Drosophila melanogaster: one gene and its partners. The protein of the gene in region 3 interacts with the protein of the main gene of each other region in a pairwise test. Each region holds a gene or a part of one and is shown on either strand. Other genes may lie near its edges. The genes, in order: CG44005, cpo, CG33695 and pira.

The links.
Region 1: the proteins of CG33695 (region 3) and CG44005 interact in a two-hybrid assay, tested with the Drosophila melanogaster proteins (one large-scale study listed by BioGRID).
Region 2: the proteins of CG33695 (region 3) and cpo interact in a two-hybrid assay, tested with the Drosophila melanogaster proteins (one large-scale study listed by BioGRID).
Region 4: the proteins of CG33695 (region 3) and pira interact in a two-hybrid assay, tested with the Drosophila melanogaster proteins (one large-scale study listed by BioGRID).

Annotation. Positions count from the first base shown.
Region 1 is NT_037436.4:18,068,303-18,076,264, forward strand, and holds CG44005 (uncharacterized protein), read right to left. Parts: upstream 3,822-7,962; 5' UTR 3,768-3,821; coding exon 3,275-3,767; intron 2,921-3,274; coding exon 2,358-2,920; intron 2,294-2,357; coding exon 2,237-2,293; 3' UTR 1,998-2,236; downstream 1-1,997. Other genes in the region: CG44006 (uncharacterized protein), read right to left, coding at 506-568, 622-1,184, 1,315-1,813; CG44004 (uncharacterized protein), read right to left, coding at 4,221-4,274, 4,327-4,883, 5,032-5,527.
Region 2 is NT_033777.3:17,916,724-17,925,266, reverse strand, and holds the start of cpo (couch potato), read right to left. Parts: upstream 5,436-8,543; 5' UTR 3,798-5,435; intron 1-3,797. UniProt on the Drosophila melanogaster protein: May play a role in the development or function of the peripheral nervous system by regulating the processing of nervous system-specific transcripts.
Region 3 is NT_033779.5:11,273,213-11,281,148, reverse strand, and holds CG33695 (uncharacterized protein), read right to left. Parts: upstream 3,129-7,936; 5' UTR 3,037-3,128; coding exon 3,019-3,036; intron 2,999-3,018; exon of another isoform or gene 2,780-2,998; coding exon of another isoform or gene 2,756-2,779; coding exon 2,664-2,755; intron 2,575-2,663; coding exon 2,476-2,574; intron 2,395-2,475; coding exon 1,686-2,394; 3' UTR 1,302-1,685; downstream 1-1,301. Other genes in the region: Ppt2 (Palmitoyl-protein thioesterase 2), read right to left, coding at 1-16, 221-328, 391-532, 634-777; cana (CENP-ana), read right to left, coding at 3,814-3,894, 3,953-4,228, 4,293-4,544, 4,601-4,750, 4,812-5,012, 5,074-7,936.
Region 4 is NC_004354.4:12,758,088-12,766,978, reverse strand, and holds pira (pirate), read left to right. Parts: upstream 1-3,367; 5' UTR 3,368-3,635; coding exon 3,636-5,681; 3' UTR 5,682-6,337; downstream 6,338-8,891. Other genes in the region: PAICS bifunctional enzyme, read left to right, coding at 6,606-6,630, 7,064-7,267, 7,372-7,516, 7,944-8,056, 8,125-8,891.

The DNA of each region.
Region 1 (7,962 bases), on a different chromosome or scaffold from region 3:
TCATTGTTCCAAAAACTCCCACTTTAGGCTACCAGCGCCCAACTACCTGATGAGTAAGCCACGGAATTTGCGGCCAATGTTGTTGAACCTGCGCGGGACTCGTGTCCATTGCACCTGACACGCACTCCTGGATGGAAAGGACAAGATTGAAATGGATGGGTATGGCGCTCAAGTTCAGGCGCAAGTTCAAAGTTCGTGTGGGGCTTGGATTTGCTCGAGTATTAGTCATATTGTTTAAATTGTTCCATGTGCATGGCTTTGCTTTAAATATTTGGTGATATCTCTTTTGCTTAATAGTATATATTAATTAATATATATTTTAAACGACGAATATATACTCACATTTATATACTTCTCCAAAATGATAAAAAACAACATCAATATAGAATTTTTTGAAACATACATATATATTTTGGTATTATCCTAACATTATTTTCATGATAATCTTGATAATTTTGGGCCAATCTATAAATAACATATGGCATATGGGAGCCCAAATTTATATTTAAAACGCAAAATCATACAAATAATTTAAATCTATTAACTCGGGATTTGAGGTCCTTGGAATCTTAAAAAAAAAAAAAATAAATAATGCTTCCCACTATTTGTTATTTATTTTACCAATCGACGAATCCATTTTGACTTTGCACGAGCGTAAATAATTAGTTTAAAAGGTTCCTCCTTCTTGACGCCGTTATCCTTGAGAACTTCAACAATGGCTGACACAAAAGCTTGGTAAATTTTAATAGCCTTCATTGGTGTATAGAATGCACGTAACTTTGGACATGATCGAAGAACTTGGAGAAAGTTATCTCCATCGAATGGAGGTGGATTGGAATTTTCATTCATCTTTTTAATATTCACTCCATTTTGCAGAATAAACCCAAACAGAAGGCCTTCAATGTAGCAGTTGGAGTTTATCATGTCTAAAGTTTTTAGCTTCGGACAATCGGGCAATTCCGTAATAATTTCGCAGTCGTTAATTTTGAGATCCTCCAGCTTTGGCCAAATCAAAGGATGCGGCTGTTCTGAGGGTATTATAGTTATGTTGCGTACTGTCAAGGAGCGAAGATTCGTAAGTGGTGTACAAATCTCGAGAAGATTTAAAGGTAAAAATGGATTGAAGCTTTTATTATAATCGATCACTAGTTCCTCCAGAGCAGTTAACTTCTGAATCTGGCAGACTAAATAAAAAGCGAGTGTATTGGTTATTCAACAATTTCTTAGGGTATAAATGTGTATATGGAAAAGTATTGAAAATATTGATAATATTTTTGTATTTAAATTGGGCTATCACTAACATACTTAACTTACCATCTTCGGTAATATTACCCCTCAATGCTAATTGTGTCACATTAGCCATTTCTGCGACCGAATCGAAAAGCTTTTTCGGATCTTTCGTGAATATAGTAAGTTCAGCTGATACCAATAATTTACTCATTTTCAACAAAAATGACCGCACGCCGTCACAATTGTTTTCGAACACATCAATTCTCACCGACTTCAAATTGGTACAATGCTGCTCAATCGACTCAACCAGTATATCACTCCATGGGGTGTTCCAAATTTGTCTGCTGGAAAATTCCTCAACAGTCGATCCACATAGGCTCACAATAACCAACCACAATTCTTGAGTTACTCCAAAGAAAGGGCTGAGCTTCTTAAAGGCACTTCGACTGTGGTACGCAAACGCTTTGCCCAGCTTTTCATGCACCTGTGCCAGTTGCACCTTATCCACAAGACTCTGTAGTTCCACGAATATGAGATCGAGGACTTCGATCGGCAAATCGTATATAGTCCGCTGGTTTTCCATCGCAAAGCTTTTAGCCCGAGAGCTAATTGCGAACTGAAAACTGCAGCAAGAGCATCGGCTAGCTAAAATCCAATTGAGAGGGGGAGAAAGAAAAGTTAAATAAGAGAAACCGAATCGTACGTATGAACATATTCCGACTCTCCAGCTCTCAGTTAAGTGACATCACATCGTAAGTTGTGAAATTATTTATAAATATTATAAGTTTAATGTAGTTTAAATAAATTTATAAATTTATATTAGTAACATTAGATAGATATATGCAATTATTGTTATTCAGTTCTAATTCAATACAATTTAAAAAATAAAAATCAAATATTTTCTAAGTTTTACAAATTGTACAATCGTTCTATACAGGTTAAATAAAAATTAAAATATATTTATAATTAATTGTTTTGTGTTTTCTGATATACAATTTGCCAGTCCTTAAAACTTGTACAGGTAAAGCGTATGAATCACTTCAGGATTAGAAGTCCGTTGTAACTGAAAGACGAAAATTAACAACGAAAAGTGTATGTAAAGTAAACATATTGTAGATTCCACTCACAAATCGTCGAAACCATCTAAGCTTGTCTCGGCAGTACAATATCAGCTCGAAGGGTTCTTTTCGCGTTGATGCAGTCTCCTTGAGAATATCCACTACGGATGTAACAAAAGCTTGGTAGATCTTGATACCCCCCATTTGAGTGGACAACACTTGCAATTTTGGACAGCTTCGAATGACTTGAAGGAAACTCTGGCCATCAAATGGTGCCGGTTCACAGCTTTCATCGATTTCCTCGATATTATTGCCGTTTTTCAAAATAAAACTGCATACATATCCTTTGATTCTACATTTGCAGAATTTGATATATAAGGTTTTCAGCTTGGGACAATCGGGCATCACTGTGGAGATTTCGCAATTTTGCATTTTCAAATCTTTTAAGTTTGGCCATATCATGGGATGGAAGCTTTCTGGTTGAGATATCGATATATTGCTCACAGTCAAACGCCGAAGATTTGTCATATTTCCGCAAATTTGAAGAAGATTAACTGCTCTGCATCTATATCCTCTACCTTGATAGATGAGTTGCAGCTCCTCCAGATCAACCAGTTTGCACAGCTGATTAACTGAAAAATGTGGACAACAATGTAACAAGTTTACTATTTTATAATCGCTACAACAGCGGTAAATATATGCAAGTAAGTATGTAAATAAGTTTAAAAACGAAAGAAAACATTATAATTTACAATGTTAAATTAGCCGAACGGGAGTCAAAACAAAAGAAAACAAAGACGGACAGAAATCTGATAATCGTCAAGCGGAAAAAGAAATTTACCGTTTGATATCGGCCGAGCCTGAATATAAACAGCAGCTTATCGTATTATATTTACTTCTATGTATACTCATTTAACCCATTAAGGCCGAGTGAAATGAGAATATAACACTATTGGGAATTCGATTTATTTTCCTAAATGACTTACCTCCCCGGTCAATGTATCCTTCATACAAGAATTTTTTCAAGTGTTTCAGCTCGGCGACGGCATTAAGTATCCTCGGCGATTGGCAACTATCGTTGAGCTTCAGTTCGACCGATATTAAAGAATTCGCCAAATTCAATAGAAAAAATTGAAGACTGTGACTATTTCTTAATGTAGCACTGATGTTCACCGACTCCAGGTTGGGACAGTACTTCGCAATCGATTTGGCCAACAGATCGCTCCAGGTGTCCGATCCACAGGTAAATTCCACAATGGAAGGGCCACAATTCGCCAGCAGAACTCGATAAAGTCGAACGGGAAAATGTATTTTTGGTGAGAACTTCTTGTAATCACTGCGGCTGTGGTACGAAAACGCTTTTCCCAGATAATCATCAACCTGCGCCAGTCGAAGTTTGTCCCTTAGATTTCGTAAGTTACTAAATATGATATCGAGCACTTCGAATGGCAAATCGGTTATAGTCCGTTGATTTCTCATTGCAGGTACCCCATACCCTCGAGAGCGAAGGCCAAACGCAAGACTGGTGCAAAACTGATGGGGATGGGAATTTTAGCGAATTCCAATTGAGAGAGAGAACCAAGTACTCCTCACTTGGAGAACTAACTGTAAATTCGCGCAAGCTGTCATCATTTGGAAGGTTGTACTTACTGACTATAAGCATGTTTTCCAATTTTTCACCAATTTTTTAAAAATTATAATTTCTGTAGAATTTACAAAAATGTGAATATACAAATATTAAGAAAACTAAATAATACATTTTTATTTATTTATTTTTTTAATTTTATTTCATCTTTTCTTAGCTAACATTTTTACATAATTTAGATTTGCTGTTTTCTACATATATATATCTTTATAAAATTATAAAATATTTTTTATATATATTTTAAAATCAATTTTGGATTTTATTATTATAGTAATATTATTTTTTCCTTATTCTTCAGCTAAGTAAAGGCTTATTAATTCAGCATTTGGTGTCCGACGGAGCTAAGGGTTAAAATAAGCCAAAATTTAAGACATCATAACCAATTCCACTTACCAATCTACGAAACCATTTCCACTTAATACGTCTACACACAACCAGTTCAAATGGGTTCTCCGGCGTCACTTTATTTTCCCTCAAAATTTCCACAATAGTAGACAGATAGGCCGCATAGAGTTTAATATATTCCAGAGGAGTGTAAAGATATCGTAAATTGGGGCACCCTCGAAGTAATTGAAGAAAACCGTTGGCATCGATCGGTGGATGGCATCTTTCATATAAGGTTTTTAAATTTCTCCCATTTTTAAGTATAAATTTTAAAATGTAGCCTTCGTTGGAGTTTCGGAGGTAATGAATATCCAAAACTTTTAGATTAGGACAGTCTGGTAACTCGGGAGTTAATGCGCATATAATGAGCTTTAAGGTTTCCAGATCGGCCCACATTTTTGAATGGGGCTCTTCACATGAGATTATATGAACATTATTTATAGTCAATTTTCGCAGGTTGCTTAGTGACGAACAGATTCTCAGTATGTTGACATCAGGCTTGTCTAGATAATAATGTTGTTCGATGTTCAGCTTCTCCAGGGCGACCAATTTCTGAATTTCGTTAACTGAATGAAACGCTGTTAGAAATCATTCACAAACTAAATTTCAAGAAATTTTTCAAAATTTTTTTTTAAATTTTTATCCGATGCGTTATATCCTTACAAACATAGCAGTAAGTTTAAAAACTATTATATTGTGCTATTAAAACCTTACCGTTCTCGTCAATGTATCCTTTTACTGAAAGTTCCTTTAACTGCGTCATTTCACCAACAACTTTCAATATTTCGAATGGAAATCGCGAACGTTGTTCCAATGAAAGGGATAATAATAATTTGTTTATTTTTCGCAAAAAGGAACATATTTGGTCACTGTCCGACCTATATAAAACTGCTGTAAACGATTTCAGATTGGTGCAGTATTTGGTAACCGCTTCGATTAGAATATCGTTCCAAAAGTCACAACTTCTATCGAAAACTAATTCCTCAGTTGTGTGGCCACATTCTTGTATTACCAACAAAAACGATTCATTTGATAACCACGGTGTTACTTTAAGCCTCCTAAACTCATTTTTGCTGTGATAGACAAAAGCTTTTGTGAGCTTTTCGTGAACCTTAGCCAGCTCCACTTTGTAATTCATATAAATAAGATGCGTAAATATCAGATCGAGGACTTCGACCGGCAAATCGATTATACTCCGCGGGTTATCCATCACAAGCTTTTTCGTCGAGAGCGAAATGCGAACTGAGGCATCTGGCAAACTGTATTTATTAAAGAGAGAGATGCATTCGCAAACGAAGAGAAACATAAGAAAAGCTTTTGTACTATCTGATTAGAGTTCACTGACATTACTATTACTGTATATATGTACATACGTACAAATTAGGTGATATCCACTTTGCATTTCTTCACACTAATTTCCTTTCTACAATACAATAAATGTATTAATTATTTCCTTGAACACAGTGTGATAAGTTTATTTTTTCACGAATAGTAAAAAACTGTCATGATGTATATTTATATATGTACATACTTATATGTCCTATGTCAGCATTGTAACGCACGTAAATTCCCAAAAGAAACTCCAGGGTTCTGCTGCGCTGATGTTCTACTAATGGTATCCTTAACCAGAGCCATTGCAATCTCTTCTGGCCAGTTTCCAAACATTTTTTAGCTAACATTCAGAAAGAAGAATCTTCACATTGAAGATAATTTCGGGAGAGCCTTCGTCCTCCGGGTCATCTAATCTATATAAAAACTATTCTGAGCAAGTGACATTTTACATTATTATGATCACAACCGCTACAAGGACTCTCCACGTCGAATCAACACCACGATTCAGCTGTTAATCTCAAACGTCAACCTCAGATACATATGTATGTATGTCTATCTAAATGGCGAACTGAGAACAAGGCCCCAGTCAAAGATAAACATTAATAAATTCACGAAGCTCACCATTTTCGTCCACGTATCCCCTGAAGAAAAAAATCCTTTAGTTGCGTTTTTTCACTCACCGCGATAACGATAGTAGCCGGAAAGTAATTTTGTTGGTTTATTTTTACCGATGTCAGAGAGCTTTTCATATTTTCTAAGAATGACGCCATGTTTTCCCGATCAGACAAATAGAACAGAACGAATACTGATTTCAAATTGGGACAATGTTTCTCAACCACATTTCTACCACATACACCGTATACAAATTCTTCAATCGTGGGCCCACATTCCCGAATAAGAAACTTCCAAGAATCAAGTGTTAGCCGTCCGTCGAGCGTAATTGTCCTGAATTTGTTGCGGCTGTGACAGGAGAAAGCTTTTGCAAGCTTTTCGTGCGCCAGAGGTAAGTTAACTTTATATTGTAAACTAACAAGTTTTTCAAATATCAGATCGAGGCTTTCGAATGGGGCACATCGTGTATTCTCCGTTGGATATCCATTACGAGCTTCTGCCTTCAGAGCGAAAAGCGAACTGAGAACTGTGTCACAGCTCACTGATAAAAGAGCAGAGTGAAACTGTAAAATCGAAGAGAGAAGAAGAGAGAAACTTTTGCAGTCTTTTCTTGTGCAATACAATAACCTGTCCTAAAAGGATTAATTATGATATTGATGTTGCACTTATCGTATCTTTTTTATTGTAAAAGCTAATGTTTGTATAAATATTACTAATTTATCCCGCTATTTTTTCATGCACTTTGACTCGGAGAGTGCAGTGGCAAGCTGATGCAAACAAAACTTTTTTCTTGAAAGACAACGCTTTTAAGTATGTGAGTAAATAAACAAGAAAATATACAACTGCACCATTATGGGCACCAATAGCAATATTGCCTCTAGAATACAGAAAGATCTATTGGGCATAAAATCTATAATAGATAAATAACTGAAGTAATTAATTTAATTCACAAATTATCATTAACTACGATTTATTGTGATTTAAGCTTATTACTTCTTAATTACTCAAAGTCGAAATTTTGATCTGATCACCGCCAATTCGTTATTACTAACAGCAGAGATGCAATACTAATAGGCATGCTTCCTTTAAGTTATGTAACTATAGTGGCATGTACATATGTATATGTACATATATCTATATCTACATGTTGAGGTCAGTTTAATATAGCAATTTAATGTCCCCACTTAAAGACTCATTTAAGGGCAATTCCCGCTGCGGTTACCACCTCACGAGCACTTACTTGGGCAAAACATCAAGCTTATTCTGCAAATCGGTATAGATTACAGTAATTATACTGTCGTAATGTACCAACCCTTGGTGACAACCCTACTCTCAACCCTCCTTCTTCACCCAAAACTTTCGCTAACATGTACTGTTGCAACAGTAAAGCAAGTTAACAAAAGGCGCACGGAAAAAGTAAAGCAGTTTTTATTTCTGATACTTATTATTATACCCGTTACTCGTAGAGTATGATTTTGCATTTTTTAAATTATTGATTTCCTTTTTTGGCAGTGTAGGGCTATGTCTGACACTTTTGATGCCAGTTGCGTGATAAGAGGCTACCAGATGAGCCGCTGACGCAATGCAGTGCAGCATGGAGGTCAATAAACCATCCAAAGAATGAGGGAACGGCGTAAAAATTCATGAGAAAAAGGGTTGCAAGCTTTTGCTGGGGATAGTACTTACGTTTTTAGCTGTAAA
Region 2 (8,543 bases), on a different chromosome or scaffold from region 3:
TCGGCTTCTTCTCAGACAAATATTGACAAAACATTCGCCATGCTCCTCTGCAGATTTCCAGTGCGATTCCCTTCGCAGCTCCTTCCTTTGCTTATCTTAAATTACAAATCAGTCAATATCGAATTGAAGGCAAACAGAAAAGACAGAAGAGAAGGAAGGAATCCCGAAAAGCGAGGAGCACTGCAGCTGGGGAGCAATTGGCATGCACTTGAGCTGGAATTCAGTTTGCAGCTTGGATTTTCCTTCTGTCTGACTAACTGACTGGCTTGCTGGCTGGCTGGCTATCCTTTGAGTGTCCCCGACGCAGTTGAAATTTGAATTTCCCTTTGCGTGAAAATATGAGCAACTATTTGGGGGGACAGCGAGCTACTGAATGGGACGGAAAGTGGGCCACCATCATCATCATCATTATTTGCATGTCTGGAGAATTAGTCCAATTTAAAACTCCTTGCGGAAACGTGACAGCTGTCCATGTAATTACGACTGGTCATCGCTAAAGAGGTTTTCCCAACCCAAGTTGCCCCACCAAACATCTGTGCATATGTGATGTATTCTAAACTTTCACACTGACACATTAAAAATTAAGCCAAATGCGACAATTAAAAGGGAAAATTCACGTAAAGAGAGGTCCTGGGAAAGCCAGCAGAAGTTTGGGACCCGAAACGCCACGCCCTCCGGCCAGCAAACTGCCAATCAGCCGTCAAGCAGTCAGTCAGTCAATCAATTTTCCATGTATACTTAAACAAAGGTAGCTTTTTGTATATATGTATGTGTATACATATCCCGGGCTGTAATTTCATAAATATTTAATGCGTGCTCGGGCCCGTGGTAAAGTATATACGATATGATACAAATACATATAGACAGGAGCAGCCGTAAGTGACAATTATCCTTGTCTTTCAGCTCCCAACCCCTCGGTAGGTTTTTCTTCGCCTGCAGCGGCTTGGAAAATTTACTTGGACTTTTCCCCGGCCATCATCTTGGCCAGGTTAGCATTAAGTGTAATTTTTTGTTAGTGGCAAACATTTCATGAATTAACAATGAGAGCGCAGCTCGGAAAAAGGACCTGGAAAAATCTAAGCGACGGTGGGGGGGGGGTGGTTTATAATAGTAGGAAAAGTGCGTGGCGCCGTTGGCAGTTAGTCATCTGAAGTTTTCCTGCCGCCGAAAAAATGAAATGTTCTACTACGTCATTGTCACACGTCTACATAGGACTGAAGGACACAAAGGGCGGATGAAGGAGATGGTGGTGTCGGAGGGCTAAGGGCTGAGTCGATGGGGGCGTGTCATCTAATGTAATGAAGCATGAAAAATGGTGGGCGTTCGGTGGTTCAAAGGTCGCTCAGCTTTTTCGCTTATTACCAACAAAGCGGCAGGAAATTCTGTATGCCAGCCGAGTTCACTTTTTCCACTCGCATATGATATATTTGTGCGGTTGTCAGGCGGCGTTTGAGGTGGCTAAAACGTAAGCTATTTAAATGATTGCTCTGGGCCGCATACACACACTCGGTGGAATAGCTCAGCCTAATTGCGTTTGTTGTATTCAAGAGGGTATGCTACATGAATTTTGATTAATTCGGTGGAGCCAGCGATTAAGCTAGATTGTCCACCTGTAGGTAACGCACATTCACCTCCCAGTTTCCCAGTGTTCCAGTTTCCCAAACTCCCAAACTCCCAACCTCCCTCAACTGGCTTTTTGCAGCCCAGCTGATGACATCACCTGGCTGGCAATCGACCTGCGTGAGCGCCCAGAAATGCCATAAACCATGCACTCACTCAAGTTTTGAGCTTAGCAAAATGTTGAGGACTTCATGAATACCGCTTAAATGCCGCTCTATCCAGCACTCCATCCTGCGAAACTTTAAATAAGTGTAGCGCTGAAAACATCAAGAAAATAAGCTCACGCAACAGAACGAGAACAAGCCTGAGAATCTGCACAAAAAGAAAAAAAAAACAATTTGCATGAAATGTCGACACGACTACGTGGAAAATTACCTTCACCCACTTTGGTGGAAAGTTCCGTTGGCATTACGTTGGCTAAAAAAGCCCTGCCCTGGCTACTTTAAGTTGGCCAAAAGAAGGCGACGCATTTCGCAACGGAAGTAAAGTAACTTTAAACTGAGTATTTTCATTGGAATGAATCTACATAAAAAAGCTTGCATATTTGGGTCATTACATTTTCGTAGCTGCAGAGTTTTTAAGACGAAAGTTGAAGAACTTACATGTAAAATATGAAATGCTATTGAATCTCCAATATATTTTTATTTAATACATACGAATGTGAACTTTAAGCCAAATGAATTGCTGCACAAATGGCGAGCTTCTCCCTTTCATTAACACCTCCTTTCATAAAAAGCCACTTTAAAGGGCGTATTTATTACATAGTTGACTGAGGATGAGCTCAGTGTAATTATGATATCCAAGGCTACTGGGAGAGTGTCCTTTCATGTTCCCAGCGCCACTTTGTTGCTGCTGCCGTTCAGCATTTCCCGAAGCTCATTTTTGCACTCATTAGGTGCTGGCGCCCGAAAGTGTGCAGCGCAAGGGGGATTCGGCCAGAACTGGCCAGTGGAGATGGAAGGCCAGGCCAAGAAGAAAATGGCAAAAAGTGAGTGCGGGGAAAATGGGAAAGTGCGCGCGAAATGGCGAAAAGTCAGCAGATGCTACTGGCCGCTGGCTGATGGAGAGCTCTGGATGCCGGCAAGATGAATTTTTGATGCCCCAAAGTGAGCCAGCTGCAGCGAGAGCGGCCTTAAAGTGGCCACAGCTCTAATGGCCAAAAGGTGAGCCAACTGAAACTCCAGTTCTCGGCCAGTTGGAGCATTTTTTTTAATCGCTTCGTTATTCCGCCGTGGGGTGCAGTTGTTCCTGCAAGGCCAAAACCAAACCGTTGCCAGCCGCGATAATTGAAAATTAAATTTAATTTTATGCCCAAAGTTAAACATTTGCTCAGTCGCGGAGAAATAACACGCATACGCACTGTATTCCCTGGCTCGCGGCTTCATCATCGTAGGTGTCCTGCTGCCTGCCTGTGCGTCGTGTGCTTAGTCCCTTTTGCATCGTGTGAACCGGCACAATTGTTGCGGATTTTCACAAGCGATAATCATAAAAATGAAAATTTTAATAGCGCGCGTGGAGACGAAGGAGAAAATCCCCTCTCTCTCTCTCTCACTCCTTCCACACACACTCGCTTTTCCACCGCCTCTTGCGTGTGTGTCGGTTGATTTTTCTAGCTGTTTACCTACACACGCACACATGCACACACACACATGGCCGCCTATTGATTTTGTCCCGTATGTTGGTGCTTGCAGATGTTTGTGGCATGATCCTAGGCGCTGCAGCAACAAATTTCACTTCGACAGGCTCATTATGGTTTAGCGAAACACGAATACCCTCCAGACCCATTGGCGCATAAAATGTTGGGGTCCCGAACGGTTTTATTTTTGGGCTGTTTTGTGGATTACCTAAGCTCACACGCTTAGGGCTAAAAGTTTATGATTGCTTTCGGCGTATGGAAATACATCTGGTGGGGAGGCGGCTCGCCAAAACCACAAAAGCATTCTCGGATTTGATTTTCTAATTAAGAGCCCTTTGACGTAAAGAGAGAATGTCAATTAGTGTAGGCCAATTTTCACCACAACGTTACCGTTGACTAATGCACGGAAACATCATAGCAAAATGTTATATTCTGTTTCTAATTAATATTAATATATCGTTTCAGATGACACAATCCTTTACGTTTATTCCACAGAAGCCCACCATTTTCAGTTAATGGTTTCATTATTGTGAAAACTTACCTTTTAAGAACTTTAGTTATTTTTCAATCCGTCGTCTGGAATTCAATGAAGTCTTCTCGTCATTTGCAATTGGTCCGCTTGATAAAGTAATTAATATTTTCGCGTAGCATTCATAAACACGCAGTCTAATTTAATTGATATGTTTTCTAGTCGTTATAGTTTTAGACTTTTGCTGAGGCTTCCTCAATGATATGTGACAATATTGTTGTATGTATATATCTCTCTCTTGTTATATTCGAGACAACTAATGTAAAACTTCTAACAAAAATTACTGTTCTTTTGGATTTTCTAAGGTAACTAGATCTTAGATAATTGTAAATTTAATATTTATATTTGCTCTTTGCAAGAGCTTTGATATGTATGCGATAATTTGCACAACTCTCCTTAGGCTAGTTCATTTGTTTTGTTTTTTATTTTGTTGATAAGATAAAAAAGCTTGATTAGGGATTCAGCAAGCTTTTTAGGCGTTTTACATGATATGTTTACGTTTCCATTCGTAGATTTTTTTAATTTCTTGAATTACATTTCTTTTAAATGTGCTAATTTAATATACTTTTCATATTTCACCTTTTGGCATTAAACGATTTACATGATATGTATGGTTATCGCATTGGTTTCTATTCTTTTAAGACAATAAAATATCGTTTTGGTTTTTAGGTAATTGCTGGAATTATTTAGCTGCTTGTCTCAGCTTTTTTTGTTGTTGTATATTTAGTTATTTAATATTTTCTATAGACTATAGAATGATATGTGTTGATATGAGTCTTTTCTTTTAAGTTACATTTCTAAAATATATTTATCGTGCGTTTTTTTTTTATTTTGTCAGCATTCTCTTAAGGGCTTAACTTTTGTTTATAAATTTTCCATCCACTGTGAATGTCTTCCACAAAATTGCGATGTTGTCTCTTGGACTTTCTCTTCCGACTCTGGCTCTCTTTCGCAGTAATGGCTGCTTTCTCTTACTCCTCGAGCCCCCTTTCTCCAACTCCGCGACCTCCTCCGCGCTTTCTTCCTCTCGCTCTCTTTTTGCCCACGCTCCTTCTCCACCCCCTTCTCTTTGCTTTCACAGGCGGCAACGGCAGCGGCAGTTTCTCTATGTATTCGTTTTTTTTTCCTGCCGTTGTATTTCAGTAACTTTTTCCGATTCCGCTTTGGGCCCGCATTCGCTTTCACCGAAAAAAACCGTAGGCGAACAAACAACAACAACTCGGGTTGGAAATTATTTATTCAAGTCAATTAAGTTTTTATGCCCGGGAATTTGTCGATTTTCGGTAATTATCTCTGGCGCAGATTGGGTTAATCCGTATATCCTGGAAGATATATGTAGATAGATATATCCTCTTTGCCGCTGCCGTTGGACGGCCCACACCCGTAAAAATAGCAAAGCAATGGAAATTATACAATCACTGGCTGCGAATTCGAAACAATAAATTTTTGGTGGCACTCGCGTTTCGAAGAATTTCTCGATTTGGCTTCGGAATAAGTTGGCTGCGCCCTGCGGGGTATGCAGCGTTTTATTTATCGCACAATTTCAGATATTGGTCTCAATTTGGCTATATTTTTCGGGGTTTTCACTATATATATCGCTGGCCTCTGTGTTCGCTGCGTGTGACTGAGTCGGAGTGTTTTCGTTTACTCAGGAGCCAGCGCAGGATGCGTGCGATGCCAGGCCATGAATTTTTCATCATCGGGCATCCTTATTAGAGATTTTCGCCCCATCTCGTTGAGATTGCTGCGCGCAGATCCAAAAAGCATCCAAGAGAGCGTAGAAAAGAGCGAACGGAAGTCCTGCGAGAGCGCCCACACACACGCACACATTTGTTATTAAGTGCTTGTTGTGGGTGGTGCATCTCCTTAATATTAACCCCCCGCCTGAAATAAAATTCTCAATTTTCCCTGGCCCTTGCATTTCGTTCAAGGCCCATCATAATCTCATTCAGGTATTTTTCCTGAATTTTTTCCTTGCTTTTTCGGGGGTTGTTTGGCTGTCTTCCATTTGGTGGGGGTCCGTGTTTTACGGCAAGGGGCGGCTTTTTGGGGGTGGCTTTATCTTTATCTGTTTGTTTTTCGCTCTCTTGTCGCTTATATAGCTTTCACATTGTCTGCCTTAATGGTCTTGTCACTTTGACATATCCCGTAGAAGAGCGAAAGATAGAAAGCGTATTAATTCTGCGCAGGTTTTTAGAGAAGACGAAAGGCGTACTTTGGTACAATGGTAGCTGAATCGGCTAAATTTATGACTATTTCCGGTGGTTGCCTTGGCTAATACAGCGAAGTTTCTAATTCGCCGCACAATTGAATTGTAGTGGCGCGCCGGCAGGTGTCGCTTTAGTTGTAGATGTAGATTTTCAAAAATATGTATATTTTTCTATTAAAATAAATACGTATTAAAATCATTGTTGTAAAATAAATTTAAAGAATTTTTTTTTAATTTCAATTAAATCACATACTTTTTTTTAATTAAATTTATATGACAGAGGTAGAAGTTTTTTAAAAACACCCTTTCGAACAAATATGCATTTTGTTTGTGATGTAGCACAATATTTTGTTATGATAACCAATGCCTTAAGTAATTATAATTTTTTTTTAAAATATGTTATAATTCAACTTAAATTTAAATTTGTGCTCATCCAAAACCAGGCAGTCTTTAATTGCCTGTGCAAATAGACCTAATTTCCATAGCTTTCACCAGGCAACAAAAATAACAAAATCAGCCATAACGATTGTTTGACAAACAATAATAGAAAAATCAAAATACATCAGGTTTATATGTGTACACTTATATAAACAGCCTGATTACGCAGTTGAGCTTGCAAACAATAAATTAAATTACACCATAATACGTTTGTGGGCTTTCACTTGTATTTGAAGTGCTTTTATTCACGTGCAGCTTGAAATCAACTAAAGTTAACTCTTAGAAATTGTAAAGCATCTCTTCCTTGTAATTACCTTACAACACAGCATTCGCTGGCCCCAAGAAATTCTTGTCAAAAACTTCCTTCGAGAAAGCCCCCTTTGCAGTCTCTCTCTCTCTCTCTTTAATTGCGCATTTCGACTTTTCTTGGATGACATCTGTTGGCCTTCCTGCCCTGCGTCCTAGCCCAAGTATGTTTTCTTCTTGTTTTTTCTTTTTTTTTTTTGGTTAAAATGAAAATCAATAAAAAGCTCAATGACGTCAGCCGCCCAGACACACACACAAACGCACACACACGCACACTTACAAAGTAAGCGGCAACATCGGAAAATGCTGGCGGCCAAATACAGCTCCTGGCACTCCCAGACTCCACCTGCCACTCCCCCCGCCCACGTAGCTTGCTCTCATCTCCGCCGGAAATCCAATCGCTCCCCTTCGTGTGCCAGTGTGTGTGTGTGCCGGCGACTGTGCGAGTGTTGCGGGTGTGCGAGTGTTGCGAGCCGAAGACACTGCACGTGAGCAGGCTATCAGCAATGGAATAAGAGTTTCGACAGCCAGAAACGCGTTTATCTTTCTGTTTTCAGCTGTCATACGCTGAGAACAAATTTGTAGTTGAATTAAGACAAACTAAAGTAATATTCTATTAATTAAATGGTTTTTAGTATTATAATAAAAATATTTTTAATTTGTACCTAGATCAATTCCCAAACTAAAACTATTGTTATATGGGACTTTGATAGTTAAACTACAAATAAGATACTGCAGATATTTGTTCGATATATTTAATAACTATGCATTGATTCGTATGCATATTAGTAATATTACTTATTTATTTCTCTGTAACTCTGCCAAAGGCATCCAAAGTAAAGGAAATGCACTGGTGAAGGAAGGCTGGCCTGGAGTGGCTGTGACAATTTACGCCAAATCTCATGATGGCTGCGATAAGCTGACAGATAAAAGCGATAACAGCGACGACAACTCAAGCCAATTGAGAAATATGCAACAGAAGTGTACAAATTTTTGTGGGCTTTGAGTGTTGGATATTTTTGACAAGCACGTGATGTGTTAAGGTCAAAAGTTGGGCATCCAAAAATAGATTTGGCTCAAATGGATTTAAAGCAGATCTAAGCAAGCGAAATCATTTTAAAGGAAATTGCTAAAGTTTTAGAAGAAATAAATATAAATGAAATTACAACTAAGTATAAGTATATATAATGATTTCTAGCATAAAAACTATAATATATTTCTGTATTTCGCAGCTTGTTAACCTATTCAAGTTTATTGCAATTTTAAGCTCGATTGAGCTGCCAAATCTTTTCAATAATATTCGCTGAGAAGGGATCATTTCCCTGCCCCTCGAAGTATGCAATAAAGAGCGATTCGTTCCAAATTGGCGCTGCTGCTGCAAGAACATCCCCAAATGCAATGAAAAACTGTTTTTCTTTTCTTTTTTTTTTTGGCAACAGCAAGCAAGGGGAGGAAGTGAACAGTGAACATATTTCCATAAACACACACGCCCCCCATTGGATGAGGAGTTGAATTTTATGAATATGCAACACGATGTTGTTGCTTAATGTTTGCGCAAAACAACCATATGAGCATGTAATGCCCAAAGGGGGCGGGTATTTGGGGGTGTGTGGTGAAAGTTGGAGTCACACACTCGGCAGTTAGTTTGTAGTAGGTGTTAAAATTGCACATGAAATATGAAAAGCCACTCATAACACTGAGAGAAACATGTGCTCCCACTTGCCTGGTTAACAACTCCCTGGTCAATTCACCACGCGAACGACAGGCAGTGTGTGTGAGAGAGAGAGAGAGAGAGAGTCCCTTTT
Region 3 (7,936 bases):
AGATGCAAGAAGCTAGCTGAAAATATTACCAAAAAATAAAAACTTGAACCATTGTGATCCCCCTTTGTTTTATAACCCAACTGCGTAATTTTTGAACACAGTTACATAATATATTTGTTTCTTGTAAGCTTTAAAAGAGTTTAGCCCGGAAAAATGTGACGCAGTTATGCATCTATATAAATAGAATTTACTCATTGGTTTAAACTTTGATCTCACTTACTGCCGTATTGCCCCGCCTGTGGCGAGGATAGAGATATAAAGGTCTTCACATTGTGCTCGGGCAGACTTTGGATGGCCGCCCGGGCCAAAAGGCCTCCTTGTGAGTATCCTGAAAAAGGCATAGTATTGGTAACTAAAAGAAAATACTCTAATGAAAATCGGCTGCCTTACCCAGCACAATGATGCCCTCTGGATGCAGTTTGCCCACCTCGTTGAGATAATCCCTAACCTGATCGACCTGTCGCCAGGCGTTCTCCAAGCTGTACCATCCATTGAACTTGTCGCAGTTGTAGACGATAGTGCCAGGATGAAACTACAAACGGACGAAATGAGTTTATCAGTGCTACTGCGTTGTTTGCGTCAAATTCGACCTTGCCACTGTAAACAATAACAAAGGGGAATCGAAAAACAAACCTCTTCGATTTCCCGGACCAGAGAGGCCATCGATTCGGCTCCTGATAGAATTCCATGGAGTATGACCACCGGTTTGTAGGCCAGTGAGACGGAAATGGACGAGCAGGTTAACAGGGCCACCAGGACTTGCAAACGAAGTCTCATTTTGTGGGGAACAATGGATTTCCGACTGTTGTTGTTGATGTATCCGTATCTTTATTAGCCGCTCTTCTTCTTGCTACCCGCTTTGGAAATTCTGAAAGTGCGGATTTGAAATCCGACATGCGAATGGCAATGTATGGGTTGCGAGCGCAATTATGAGCAGAACGAAATTTGAAAATGCATTCGAAATTTCTCGAGACTTCATTGTACAATAATTGGATGAATTTAAAATACGTGGTGTGCATTTAAAAGGAAAGGTTTATAAAATAGGTCCCATAAATTGGATGGGTACATTCAAATAAAGATAAAATGCAATATAATTTAGCGGACCATTAGAAACACAATTGAGTTTGCATTGGGTGCTTTAAAAATATAATTATATATATGCTTTTATAATACAGTCTGATCAAAATAAAAGTATGAAGTACAAATTACAGCAATGAGATTGTAGAAGCCATTGCAAATAACTAAATTTCTACGCTCCTTGGGCTTTCCTAACTCCAATAAAATCCCAGAGATCGCCGAATCTTAAAATAATGCTCGTTTATTCACTCTCAACTTACACGATCGTCGTTATGTACTTTGCACTATTGTGTCTTGCGTAAATTTAAGTCTAGGCGGCGCATATACGCTCCGCAATTAATATCTACGCTCTGTGGCTGGCGATCCACAGACTCGTCCTCCACATCGCACAATTCATTTGTCATCCGGGGCCCGGAACAAGGTGATTTCAGGGTATATCAAATATGACAACACTTAACAGTTTAGACTTAGGGCTAGGGCGGCATCTCAACCTTTTTGCTTAAGAGTTCTCGATCTGGATTTGTAGCGGTTCTGTTCCAAGTTACGTGATTCGTTCTGCGGCCGGAGATCTAGTAGAAGAAGTCCAGCCCGTTCCGAGGGCTCGAACCTCACCCGGCCACCTCCTCGCTGACAAAATCCAGCTTGACCACCTCTGCGGGCAGGCACTCCTCCACGTCCACCTCGTTCTCCTGGACATTGATGCGATTGAGGGTCATGGACACGTCTGGTCCGCACTTTAAGCCTGCTGGCGCCCCTGCTGGCGATCCTACTGTCGCCGCTGCCGCTGGAGGATTGGAGGTGCTAACCACATCGTCGGCAATCACCACCGTGGGCGAGAGTACTGTTGGAACAGTGGACACTGCCGACACAACGGGCACCACGATCTGCGTCGACGAGCAGGTGGACACCATATGTGGCTGCTGCACCACTGTCGCCGTAGTCGAAGTGGGCTGCTGGATAATGATGTTCTCCGTGATGGTGGGCGTGTTGTTGGCCGTCGAGGCTGCAGCCTGGGCTGCCGCTAATGCCGCAGCCTTCTGCATCTGCTGGTACTGCTTAACAGTCACCGTCGTGCCCGTCGTAGTTGTATTAGACTGTGGATGCAGGATGATCTGCTTTGGCTGCGCCACCAGCTGTACGTGCTGCACGATTGGCTGTGACTTGAATACTTGAGGAGGTGGCTGCTGAAGGGGCTGCTGCGGCTGCTGTTGTGGCAGCGTCTGGAGAACGTGTTGCACCTGCTGGACGGGCACTTGCTTGGCGGGAATGCCGGCGTCCTCGAAGGCCTTCTTCTTCAGCGCCTGGCGGATCTGAGAACTGCAATGGGGAAGGTCAATTAAAACTAGCACGTACACACTGGGCAGCCGGTTCCCTCGCCAGGAGCACAGGATCACTTACACGGTGCGGTTCTTGATGCTTAGGCTGATCTTGGTCAGGTCGTCGGAGAAGCGCATTATGGACGAGTGCAGCATGTCGATCTCCTCGTCCGTCCACTTCCTGCAGCCGTGGCGAGGGAACAAGGCACACAGAAACACTCCGATTAGTGTCCACAAAACTCGCGACTCCACCGCATAGAATCAACTTACCCCGATGGCGACTCCGCATTGGGATGCAGCTGCATGGTTAGATCGCCCAGTCTGCTGAACGCCTGTCCGGCGGCCGTGAATATCTCCCCCACCTGCAAGTGCATGCGGATTTGCATCCGGAGTCAGTTTGTTGTTACCGCGTGCAAATTCAAAACAAACGCACCGCCCCTGCCCACCGCCCGCCGGCCCACTCACGGTGGAACAACAAATTTCCCACTCGCAGGAGTGAGACAAACGAATGACTCTCGACTCTCTCCCGCGCCGCCTTTTTCTCGCTTGCAACGCGCGGAGGCGCTGGCGACGGGATCAACGCGGTCGGAGCTGCCGGCGGATGTGGTGGAGCGGCTGAACCTACCTTGATTGCCGAGTTCATGGCCTTTTTTCGCGGGGCGCTGTTTTTTTGTCGTAATTTTACGTAGTTTTGCGTCCGCAGCTATTCAACACTGACGCCGTACACAACACTCAAGCGGCCGTCAATTTTCCAATGCACAACACTAGAATATGTATTTGCGCTACTATCGACTTATCGATTGGTGCAATCGGGAATTCAAACAAGAAGCGTTATGCTTATTTAGATTTACATTTAAGTAATTTATGTCTTTTATTATTAGAACCAGCAACTTATGCGAATCTGATTTTAACATTAAGAAAATGTAAATAGTTTATTCAATGCTATACATATGAACCAAATATTATTACACATGATGAAGGAAACATTTCTTAATTAACAATATTTAACTATTTATCGAATTTAACTATTAAACAAAAACCAGCATAATACAGATTTAAATTTAAATACTACGATCACGATTGTTTTTGTAATTTTTGTATTGATAGTATTTGACAAATACTTAGGGCGTAAATATAAATAGAAAACTTTATGATGTGGAATTCCACCGTTTGCAAGATAACACCTAACAAAAGAAATCCCTAATACTTGGATAACATTAATCATCTTTTTTATCATCGTTGAACTCAACGTTTTGCCTCCAGTCCGAACTCAGTCTTTGTTTGCAGCTCCGCTGCTCGCAGTGGCAATTGCCACCTGCAATATTAGTTAAAACCACATAAAGTTTAGACGATTTCGCGGCCAAGCAAACCTTAACTTACCTAAAGGAACGGTCGTAGTTCCGCCGTCACGTAAGTCGTTTCAGCAAAACTGCTTACGGTTCTCATCGTAGGCCGTCATCCGTCGATTCTTCCGCTCCGCAGTCTCTAGGCTGCTGGATTTCTTTACGAGAGAAATAAAAAAAATATTACATGCTTGAAATTTAGAAGATCATACGTACCTTTGGCACACATTCAGCGGAATTGCAGTCCAGGGGCTTCTTTGTTGCTGGAACAGCTGCAGGAGTCGGCGATCCATTCGAGGAATTCAACTCAATGGACACATCGCCTCCGTTCACTTTTTGCGTGTGTAAAGCCGGCAGTTCGCGCTTTAGCTTAGCCAGGAGCTCGGTGACTGTGCACAACTTCTCCTCAAGATTACGCTTGTCTTCTAACAGGCTAGAGATGGTGCCGTCCATGCGTTCCTTCTCCGATCGAAAGTTGATTTCCCTGGTTTTCTAGGCGATTTAAAGAGAAAACATTAAGCTATTTTATAAGAGCCTTTGATTGCAATTATTCTACCAGAGTTGATCGTAGTTCTTCGTACTCCCTCGTACGTTTATCAACCTTCTGTTCCATCTCGAGGCTTCTTTTATTGGCCGCTTCTATGGCTAAACTTTGCTTAATCCATGCCTTTCGCAGTGATGTAAAGGCGGTTTCATTGGATTTCAACTGGGCGTCAAGTAGTGCGTTTTTCCCATTCTTCTCATTAATAACAGTCAGCCTTTCCTCTAACTCTTGTTTATTCTGTTGCAGTATAAGTTCCTTTGATTCCTAAATAAATATTTCATTAGCGACCGAATAACCTACAAAGACAAGTCTAATATTACCAATGTTGAACGGAGCTTTTCGCAATCCTCTTTGAGCGCCTTGTTACCCGAACTCAACTTTTCCTCCATCTTGCGGTTTTCCTCCTTTAGATTAGAAATTGTTTCATCCAACAGTTGCTTTTGCGTTTGGAAATATTCTTCTTTGGATTGCTGAAAAATTTTAATTACCTATATTGTAATCAACCAGATAGATTACCAGATTAATTATTACCAGATCGGAACGTAAGCTCTTGCACTCTTTTGTGAGATCGTGAAGATTCTTCTTCATTTCGAGATTTAAATTATTTGCTGCTGTTATGTCTGATAGATAATTTTTCGAGGTTTCTAGCAATTGCTCATTATGCAACCGAAGATCGGATATAGTCAAGTTCAAAGTTTCCCTTTCTTTTAGGAAATCATTAGTTTGAGCTTCCTGGTATAGAATAAAATATAATAGAATACAAAAGTGAAGGCGTTAAATAAATAAAACTTACCAGATCGGATCGTATATTTTCGCAATCCTTGGTCACTTCGCCAAGCTCCTTGGATCGGCGATCGATTTCTACTTTCTTGGCTCGAAGCTGCTCTTCGAGATCGAGTTTGGTTTGTTCCAGTTTGTCAAAATCTTCTCGTAGAGAGGAATTGAGCTTTCGCTCCTTATCCACCATGTTCTGTAGTTCCTGAGCATCTTTTAGCTTTCTTTTAAGCTCTTCATTTCTAGACTCTAGATGGTCTCTTACTTCTTGCAGAGATTTTAGTTTAATCTGAAGCTCGTCTACTGAACCCTTAATATCAGCAATCTTTTGTTTAAACTGACCTTCCTGGGCAGACATATTTTCCTGTACTGCTTTAAGACTATTTTCCAGGCCTACTTTTGCTTCTCTCACTGTTTTATTTTCATCAATGGCGTCCTTGAGCTCAGAGCGAAGCTGTTTAATCTCTGAATCTCGGCCGGAAATTCCTTCTTGTAAAGCAAGCTGTTCAGCATGCAAACGCTCCACTTTCTTCTGCAGATTTTCCGACAACTTATTTGAATCCGAAAGACAGCCTTTTAGCCGCTCGTACTCGCACACCAGCTTATCGTAGGCATGAAGCCTGAGCTGGGCACAGTGCAGAGCTTCTTTGATATCTGCCTCCTTGGACTTGAAAGTCTCCAGCTTTTCTGCAATTTCACACCTCTCCAACTCCTTTTGAGTGGTTAGTGTAATCATTTCCGCTTCGATTTCCTCAAGTTTTTTTATGGTATTCGAGTGCTGTCCGTTGATTTTCTGGATCTCCGATAGCAGTTCTGCTTTCTCGCCCCTCAACAGCTCCAAATCCTGAACATATTGATCGCACTTCTTTTGCAGGTCATCGATGTTCTCGTTCGACGAGCCTGGCAGCAAATCCGAACTTTTCTGGTCGGCAGTGCATTGCAGTTGTTCTAGCTCCAACATGCTTTTGTCGTACAGCTTCTTAAGTTGGCATTTTTCCATTTTCACTCCCTCGAGTTCCACTTCCCGATCAGAATTCGTTTTATGCAGCTCTGCTATTGTGTTTCGCATCACCTCAAGCCTAGAAATTTCCTTATCGCGCTCCTCCTCCGCTTGCCTTAGTTTCTCCTTGTAAGAAGATTCCTTCTCCTTCAGCGTTTCCCTGATTTTTTCAAGCTCTGCCTTGTGTCGGACAGCCAATTCGTTTCTTTCCTTCTCGGCCTGAGTAATCTTTTCTTGAAGAGATCTTTTAATGACATCCAAATGCACCTGACACTGAGTCGTAACACTGGCGAGCTTTTCATTGGTCTGCTGTAGCTGCTCTTCGTAGCGTTTCTGGGTTTCCTTTAAATCCAGGCAGTATGCACGGAATTTGGAGCGGTTTTCATTCTCGCTCGTCTCAATTTTCGCCATGTACTCAAGCTGAAGGCTTTTGTTCTCATCTGTCTTTCGCTTCTCCAGAATACTTAATTCCTCTTGTGCCCTTTGTAATGATTCTTCAAGTTGCTCGATTCGGCGTTCATATTCGGTGGTAAGAGTTCGTTCAGTTTGTTCCTGGATAGGCTTCTCAACATTTAGAGATTCTTCAGCTGTGGTACTATGGTGCTGCAGTTCGACACCGCTTTCTTGAAGCTGATCTAGAGGGCGCAACTCCTCCGCCTGCCAATTTACAATGTCTGCTAGCTTCAGTTCCATGGATAAGCAACACTCGCTTATTTCTCCAATATCCGACTGCAGTTCGGATATTTTTTCGTCCTCTGACTGCTTTTCAAGTTTTTTCTGCAGTTCACACACCTTGGACTTCAGATGTGCAAGGGATGTCTTGAGAGTAAGGACTTCCTGAGATTCCTGCTTGTTAGCGGTCTGTACGGTATCTTTAGTCTGCAACTCCTCGCACAATATTTTTGTCTTGGCATTTTGATTTTTTATAGTTTCGATTTGATTCAGGCTGGTAATTTGTGCACGCAAATTGTTAATAACTTCTTTCTCTTCCTCAATTAGATTCTTTTTCCCGTCAACTTCTTGTTTCAGTTGGAAAATGATATCACGCATTCGGTCTTCCTCTTTCACCAAATTCTGTTCCTGATTTATTTTGACAATCTGAAATCTTTGGCATTTCAGAAAGCCTTTAAGGAATACGGAGTCGGATGCATCATGTTGTTTACCATCACCCTCTAAATACTTAGCAGGCTCAAGGCAAAGTTTTAGGCTTGGCACGCTTTGATCCTGTTCGGCATGGTTATATATAAAGAGGCGCCTGCCACCGGAGTAGTCGGTGAGCTCAATCTGTTGGATGGACTTCGACAGCTTGGTGAACTGTTGCAGCAGATCAGTGTCCAATTCGTTTTCCGGATCACTGCACTCAGTGCCTACACCCGAACTCTTCATGGATTCCAAATCGGAGTTCGTTGTTCGTTGCTTGTGCTCCTCTCGGAGTGCATCGCACTCTTGAATAGTACTCATCAATTCGTTGGATAGACATTCGTAATTCAGTTGGATCTCGTCAAACTCCCACTGCAACTTGGAGAGGCGCTTCTTCAGCTCTTGATTTTGTAGCTCCATATCTTCTGGATGAGTATCCGGATTGGGAACTTCTAATAGCTCACTATGGATCTCCTCCACTCGCTCCTTGAGAGTTCCAATCTCGGCTTGCAGTTTAGAATTTTCATCCTGCAGCTGCTGACACTGTTCATCCGATCTGAGTTCCAGATGCCTATACTCGTCCTGCAGCTGTAGGTACTTTTGCTGTATAGTATTGTAGTCAACCTGCATGGTATCAATGGCCAGCTTTTGACTAGACCACTTATGCTTCAGGTTGTTGTACTTTTCCTGCAATTGTCCAAAGTCATCATGCGCTGTGGATATCTGTTCGGAGAGCCGTTTG
Region 4 (8,891 bases), on a different chromosome or scaffold from region 3:
GATCGATGCGCTGAAAAGAGCAAATTTGTTAATATTTATAAATAATGAGCAAATTTGTTAATATTTATAAATAATGTAGTAAAAGTTTGAAGACTATAAACCAAATTATTAGCAATCAGAACAAAGAACAATGGAACTGGCGTTAAAGGGCTAATTCTTACAGTTTTACAAGCACCGTCCTTTTGTTATGTTTTTGGGCTAGTGTGTTTTAAGTGCTGATAAAGCGGGAGAAAGGGGAAATGGGCAATTGCTGTGTTGCACGCCATTTCTCCTGTTCCTTCCACTACTTTTATTGCTCACTCTTTTATGCACGTATTAATATGACAATTATGCGAGTGCAACAAACCACAACGTCACAAGCGCACCAAGTGATGAATACTACAGTTCAGGGGGAAAAAAAAATTGCAAGCAGTTGAAGTTAAAAGCAAAACTTGCATAAAATACGATCCCTTTTTAAATGTCATACCCAAAATAAAAGTGAATAGGAAATATTTGCTAATATAAGGTTTTGTGAAAGAGTGCATATGGTATTGATAAAGAATTGAACTAATGCTAATATCTTGACCGCAGCTGTATGTGCAGCCGCCCAGAAGAAAGAGAAAAAATCAATTTAAATTTGCGCCCAGCGGCGAAAAACGGAACAAAACAAAACGGGGGAGAAACGAAGGAATGGGAATTTAGCATACCATATTGTGTTTTTCTACGGGTTTTAATAGATACTATCAATGAGATACTATCAATTGATATGCTATTGAATCCCGATTTGAATGCTGCATATAATCAGCTAAATAAATTGTCTATTTGTTTGCCATTTCCTTTATTCGGTTCGCTGCCCCTATTTCCATTTTCAGTCTTAACACTTGCGCGTTATGTTAGTTCGAGGACATCCATTGATATTAAAAAAAATTCTTCATTAAATTTAATTCAAATATTATATTAATAAATAAGAACACAAAATTAACTCCAAAATTAACTCCATTTGCATAAAAAGACAATTTTACAATATGAATTTGTTTTCTGTTCATTTGTATTTCAAGTGCATAGGAAGAACTATAGAGTTTTTCGTTGTGTCAAAAAATTTACTTATTATTTACTATTTTGCAAACTGGGTCCATCAAGGGTTAATATTGTTGTTCCCTTACGAACACATCTGGCACAAAACAAAATAAGCAAAAAACGGTAAAAGGGGGTTGCGCCAAGAGAGCGTTCAAAAAGAGAGGGTGGCAGAGAGAACTACAGACACGCCAAGGATAATAGCAAAAGAAATCAACTTAAAGACACACAAAAACACATAGCACACACACACACACAAAAACACTCGAATTAAACATAAATAAATGCAATTTTCGCCAGCTCCGTTTTGTTGTGGACAAACCTTTACAATTAAATTAAACAATTCGAATTTAATACAATTGGCGGCTGCGTGTGGAATTCGCTTGACACACCAACAACAAATGAATGCTCACTTTCTTCGTTTCGGCTTTTGTTTGTTGTGGATTTTAATAAAAGCGACTACTTTTTATTTCGATCTATTTCGTATGCAGTTATTTCGATTCTTTTTCTTCTCTTTTATTTTTATTTTCTGCTGCTGCGGCGACGACACAACGCCGACGTCGACGGCGACGCGAAAACGACGTTGCGCTGCGTTTGCTGAGAATTTCCGTTACCGGCGTTCGAGCGACTTTCGTGGCAACTAGCGGTACCGAAATATCGAAGCTAACATCGATGCATCGATGTTTTTATCGATTTTCCGAAACATCGATGTCTATTTTTTTTTTTCATCGCTATTCGAAGACTCAGAAAACGAATTTCTTCAAATTTAAATTTATTCAATTTCAGTTATTAGCATGCAATCTTAAAATTGTATATGCATTTTCAATTTGTAGTGGAGGCCAAAAAATTTCCGATCAATTGATTTCCGACAAACTTATGTTTATCAATACCAGTTTAAGATTATGCATCTGAAAATATATCTTATTTTTTTTAATTTTATTATATTAATATTTGTTTTATATTAAATTACAAAAAAATTAAATTTAATAATAAATAAATGTTCTTTCTTTTTCAACAAGTGTAAATAAAAATATTATAGTCTGCAAATATCGATAGACGGCTAATTGTTGGGTATCGATAGCGAGCGGTGTGTGCGTCCGCGCTGCATGGAGCTGGCATTGGGTTTGAGTCTCAGCTTTGGAACTAAAAAGCATGAACTAAAAACATCGTTTCGAGAATTAATTGAGAATTAAATATTAAAGTCCCGCGTATTTAAAAAAAAAATAAAGCTGTTAGTTAAATATGACATCTTCTCTGCGAACGGTTTGGTTAGAGCAAACAAAAAAGTTTATATGACTACAACGAAAAATTCAATTTAATAAAGAACTAACGGAAAACATAGCATAAGTTTTTCCCGAAAAATATGATGTACTCAGCTGGATATTTAAAAATAGAGCAGGCTTGTTGTATTATTTACATATGCATTTTCCACGTGCTTAAATGTTAAATATATTTTAAATAATATATATAATTAATATATGCATAAGAAAAAACAATTCGAATAAAAATATATTTTGCAAAATATATTACTGCAGCCAGCACAGATATGACACTATTTAGTAAAGTATATACAGTAGTAGTAATAGTAAATTTGTAAATGTAAAACAAAAGCCAGTTTCCAGTTGCTTCACATTTAAGGAATTCGACTTGGCAAACTTTCTGACAGCTAACAACGTTGTGATTTAGATGCGTTTTTCCGCACTTGGCAACCGATGCAAATTGCGAAATGGAGCCCTTTGGCCCGCGGAAAGGAAAACGTGTGTGTGTCTGTCAGTTGTTTTTTTTTTTTTTTTATAAATACGCTCTTGGCAAAAAACAAAAAAACAATAATATTTTTGTTTACATTTGATTTTCTTATCGCCGCCAAGCGATCCATGTGGTGAGAGGAGCTCAATGCTGACGACTAAAAATCGGACAGGTGGACCCGATGACGGACGCACAACTATAATTTGATTAATGTCTGTACTTGTATTTGCAAAATGTTGAAATTAAAACGAGAATAAATTTTTGGTTTTTAAAAATTCCCATACAAAGAACTTGCAACAAACGGCTGAACTTATAACTTTGTAAATACCACATGTAAGAATACTAATACTTGTAAATGAAAAGCAAAGAACTTAGCTTAGCTAAGATTCGCTTAAATGCCTATATTTCGTCAGTTCAAATATTATTTAATTTCAATATTCGCAACATTCAAATTTCAAAGCGGACTATCGATACATATTTTTAAAAACACCCCACAAAATCCATACCAATTGGAAACATATACATATGTATCGATATGAGCAGCAAAACTCCGATGGCGATAGCAACTCGCACAGATGATTTTTGGATACAGCACTTGGGACGCCGTTTACCCCAACAATAAAAATAGACAGATATCAAATATCGCATAAAACACACAGATTGGAAAATGAAAGGAATATAGTGATCAAAGTCACCGTGTTAGGTGACTCTTCAACCATCCAGTTAACTTTGCACATCAAGCAGCCCGAGAATTTGCAATCGAAACGAGAAACTTCAGTTCAGTCAGATCAGCCCATATAACGTACATATGTTATACTATTGAATCCGGCTCCAAAATGGATCGCAAAGAAACTGTTTCGAAGGACCAAGCGGTACGTCGAATTGCCCATAATGACTTTATATTAGTCTCACGTCAATTGCTGATCAATCGAGCCGACACGGATCCGGACAAAGGAAGTGCCAGGATGTTGATTATCTACAGCAGTGGAAAGCAGCACATCGTCACCTTCAAGCTGCCGAATCTTGCGTGTAGGGTGCAGGATCTGTTTTTCCAAATGGACCTTCAGATCGATGAGAGCACCACGATTGATTGCATTGAGAATGCCGGCGGTATTATCCATTTGGTTGTCTCTGTGGGCTTCCCCATCAGTGATAACATTGCCGAGACGGTTGCCCATGCGGAGGAGTTCTATAGGAAGGTGCATCAGTCAAAGGCATCATCGGCTGATGCCGCTCCACCCAATGCGATGGCCGGTGAAGAGCACTCCCCTGCGGTTGTCAAACCATCAGAGACTGCGGTGGCCAACAATGGTTGCCAGCCAGCTGCAAGTGCAACCAAAGGCAAGAAGCACAAGAAAAGTCCTTGCGGGAGTCCGGGAGAAAACAATGATGGCCAAGTGATATTGTCGGCGGATCAAGACGCCAATACTAATACCAAGGCCAAGAAACAGAAGAAGTGCCATATTGCAAAGGATAACAATGGAATTCAAGCTGCTAGTTCTCATGACAACCCTAGTTCATCTGGCAATAAACAGGGAAGTCACAACTCCACGGCTATAACCTCCAATTCTACAATGACGAGTAATGGTCTTCGGGGCGTGCAACCAGCTGAAGATGCTCCCGCAATCTCCCAGTGGATCCAGTCGAGGAACAATGCCGCTGTTAGCAAGAAATCGGAAGAGACAGCTGGTGGATCTCAATCGCGGGTGCAATCGAATGTTGCATCCATATCCTCGCCAGCGGTGAAAGCAACTAGCGACGCTGCTATACCCACACCAGCAGAACGCGCAGAGCGTAGTCGCCTGCGCCGAAATCGCAATTGGATACTAAGCAGGGACGTTGATGAAGATGCCGTGGTGCTGGTGAGCAGCGGTGATGAGGAGACCACCGCCGCCGATGATGGCCAAACCGAGAGAAGACTTTCACCCGATGAGAATCAAACCCTTTTCACATATCCGCCAACTGGTACCGGTGGCCTGAGCATCACCATCAAGGACTTTATGTGTCTCAGTAAAGGATCGTATCTGAACGATATAATCATTGATTTTTATCTGCGCTGGCTAAAGAATAACATCATACCAGAGGAACAGCGCGATAGGACGCATATCTTTAGCACGTTTTTCCACAAAAGATTGACCACACGAACGAATCCCAGAAATACGAAGCAGACGGCGGCCCAGAAGCGTCACGAAAGGGTTGAGAAGTGGACACGAAACGTCAATATATTCGACAAGGACTTCATTATAATACCATTCAATGAGCAGTCCCATTGGATACTGGCCATTATATGTTATCCAAACCTTAGAAGCCCGGTGGTAAACAATAATAATGTGCAGACGACACTCAGTGATGATATTCCCATCAAACAGCCGTTGATACTTATTTTCGATTCGTTGGCAGTCACCTCAAGACATCGAGCGATTGCCATATTGCGGGATTATCTCACCTGTGAGCACAAGGCCAAGTATCCGAATGCGCTGGCGCATGTCTTTAACAAGGATAATATGCCCGGTCATAGTGTGGAGGTGCCGCAACAGCAGAATCTTACAGATTGCGGCCTCTATCTGCTGCAATATGTGGAGCAATTCTTCACAAAACCCATCAACGACTATACACTGCCCATTAAGGAGCTGAGCAATTGGTTTGACCTGCTCACAGTAACCAAGAAGCGTGAGGATATCGCTAATCTCATCAAGAAGCTTATGAATGAAAGCAATCAGCAGCGCAAAATTTTGCCGGTCATTAAGTTTCCGACATTAAATGGCCAACTGGTGATGGATGAGGAGGATAGCGAGGAGGAGAATTCTAAAGAGGAGCATAAAACTACGTTGGTTTGTTCAAAAGACAGAAAACCGCCGAGGAGAAGGAATACACTCAAATAAACCACTTGTGAGAGAAGTGAAAATACATATATTTTCTACAAAACAACTGAACTGAAGACGATCGCAACGCAATGCTTTGGAACACTAGGAGGAGCAAATTGACACGGCGGAGATGGGTTCACCAGAAATATACGTTTTTTCCCTCAAGGAAAAGTTTCATACACACATACAATCACCAAAAAGAGCAGTTCAGCCAACAAGACGATAAAGAGGCTACCTACTGGAGAGATAGAGACAGAGACAAAGACAGAGATCAGGATCACAGGATGAGCATGTTAGGCAGGACGAGGTGGATGTCAGGAGTTGGAGAATGGACAAAAATCAAGAAAAATTCAAAATTCAGAAAGTCACCAAATGAATAGAAAATATTTTAGAAACAAAATTTGTAAATAAAATGCGACAATAAAATTTGTCACGCATAAGCAAAGCTTTATAGATTGCCAAAAAATGTACATATGTATGTATGTACATAAGTACATAAGTTGCCCCGCGCGGTGTTCATCGGCCATTTGGGAAACTGCAGGGTATTACCAATCAGCATTATACTCGACTCTAAGCCCACACACACACCCACACGCAAGCACACACACGCGAGCGCAAACACATGGATCTCTTTGCATTGGTGTTGGGGTTCGGCGATAAGAAAATCGAGCCATAAAGTCGCGCCGGCGATTCTATAGACGCTCAGTTGCTTTGGAGCGATTCTTTGATGCAGACGAACATCGGAGTTTGCGGATTGTAATAATAGAGCCAAGCGGAGAGAGCGAAAAAGACAGAGAGAGAGATAGAGAGCGAGAGCGAGAGGGAAGGCACCAGCGAATATCGAGCATAAAGCAAAGCCCGCAACACGTGAAACAGCCAGCAGCCAATTGATTTCAATTTCGATTCTTAAAGTGAAGTGACCAACAACGTGCGATTAACGAGATGTCCACCACCACAACAGCATCCAGTAAGTTTATCCATCGCCAAGGTTTCCAAATAAACAATTGTTGTGCCTAGAACGTAAATAGTACCAAAGCTACCATCTTTTATTCGATCTTTCATCAATAAAAGACAAGCTTAATGTGATGGAAAGCAAGACAGTTGTTTATGTTTTCCCGCCAGCCTTGGATTTATTTAAACAGTTATTCGGGTTACTCAAAAAAATAAAACAACGGAATATTTTCCTGGTTCTGATAATATTTTAATGCTGTTTATTGAGCTGTCTGCTGTAAACAAGAAGGCTGGCTTTCCATTGTTTAAATCAAGATAATTGTGGATTTCGTAAACAAGTTGTCTTTCCATTCCTTAAATCAGTATCATCATATATCATATAGCATCGATTCTAAATACTAACTAAACACCGAACGTAACGAATGCAACTGCAACTTGAATTTCCACAGTAGAGGGCTATAAGCTCGGCAAGGTCATCATCGAGGGCAAAACCAAACAGGTGTACGATCTGCCAGAGCAGCCAGGACTTTGCCTGCTCCTCAGCAAGGATCGCATCACCGCCGGCGATGGTGTCAAAGCACATGATCTGGCCGGCAAGGCGGAGATCTCCAATACCACCAACGGTCAGGTCTTCCGGCTGCTCAACGAGGCAGGTGAGTTGCTAAACCATATAAGTCAAATCAACTATAATGCATTTTAGTCAATTTCTAACCAAATTGATCAATTAATTAATTAATTAATGCTTCTTATTCGACAGGCATTCGCACCGCCTATGTGAAGCAGTGCGGCGCCAAGGCCTTCATCGCCCGCAAGTGCCAGATGATACCCATTGAGTGGGTGACCCGTCGCCTGGCCACCGGTTCGTTCCTCAAGCGCAATGTCGGCGTGCCCGAGGGCTACAGGTTGGTAAACAGCCAATGGCTGGCTGTGGGTTATCACCCCATTCGATTTGTTGCGATCTGTGTGTTATCTGTGTCCGCTTGCGGTAAACAAATTCAAATGCAATCGATGCACTGCAGCAGGGTCAACAATCGCTGATAAGATTGATCGTTTGTGAACTCAAAGCCCACGAAATCTGTAATTCAAGTCAAGATTTTCGCCAGGGCAATGCTGCTGAGATGCTATGTGTAAATTCGTTTCATTTGATGTCGTCATACCAAGGCAATAGCTCTTTTTTATGGCTTTGATTGCCAACAAGTTCGCCTCTTTGAGTTACTGTAGAATATATATTATACTAGAAGTAATACAAATGTCACTTGATATTTAATTTATTCATCTATTTGCCTCAATTTGCTGCCTTATTACTACAATTACATTTGCATTGCGCAGGTTCTCGCCGCCCAAACAGGAGACGTTCTTCAAGGATGATGCCAACCACGATCCCCAGTGGAGCGAGGAGCAAATTGTCTCCGCCAAGTTCGAGCTAAATGGCCTGGTGATCGGTGGGTACTTGCGGCATAAAGCACTTTTACATATACAAATCTAAAACTGGCAACATGTTTTTCTTTAGGCCAAGATGAGGTGGACATTATGCGTAGAACCACACTGCTGGTCTTCGAGATTCTCGAGAGGGCATGGCAGACCAAGAATTGCGCCCTGATCGACATGAAAGTGGAGTTCGGTATCTGCGACGATGGCAACATAGTTCTGGCCGATATCATTGATTCCGATTCGTGGCGCTTGTGGCCAGCGGGTGACAAGCGTTTGATGGTCGACAAGCAGGTGTATCGCAATCTGGCATCGGTGACGGCCAGCGATTTGGATACCGTAAAGAGGAACTTCATTTGGGTGGCCGAACAACTGGCTGATATTGTGCCCAAGAAGGATCACCTGGTTGTCATTCTGATGGGCAGTGCTTCCGATATATCGCACAGCGAGAAGATAGCCACCAGCTGTCGATCCCTCGGCCTTAATGTGGAACTTCGCGTGAGTTCGGCCCACAAGGGACCGGAGGAAACGTTGCGCATTGTCCGCGAATATGAATCGGTGATGAGCAACTTGATCTTTGTGGCCGTCGCCGGGCGATCCAATGGACTGGGTCCAGTCGTTTCCGGCAGCACCAACTATCCGGTAATCAATTGTCCGCCCGTCAAATCGGACAACATGCAGGTGGACGTGTGGTCCAGCTTGAATCTGCCATCGGGGCTGGGCTGTGCCACAGTTCTCTATCCAGAGGCAGCTGCTCTGCATGCGGCCACCATTCTGGGGCTGGGCAACTTCATGGTCTGGTCGAAATTGCGTGTCAAGGCGCTCAACAACTTTATCACTCTCAAGAAG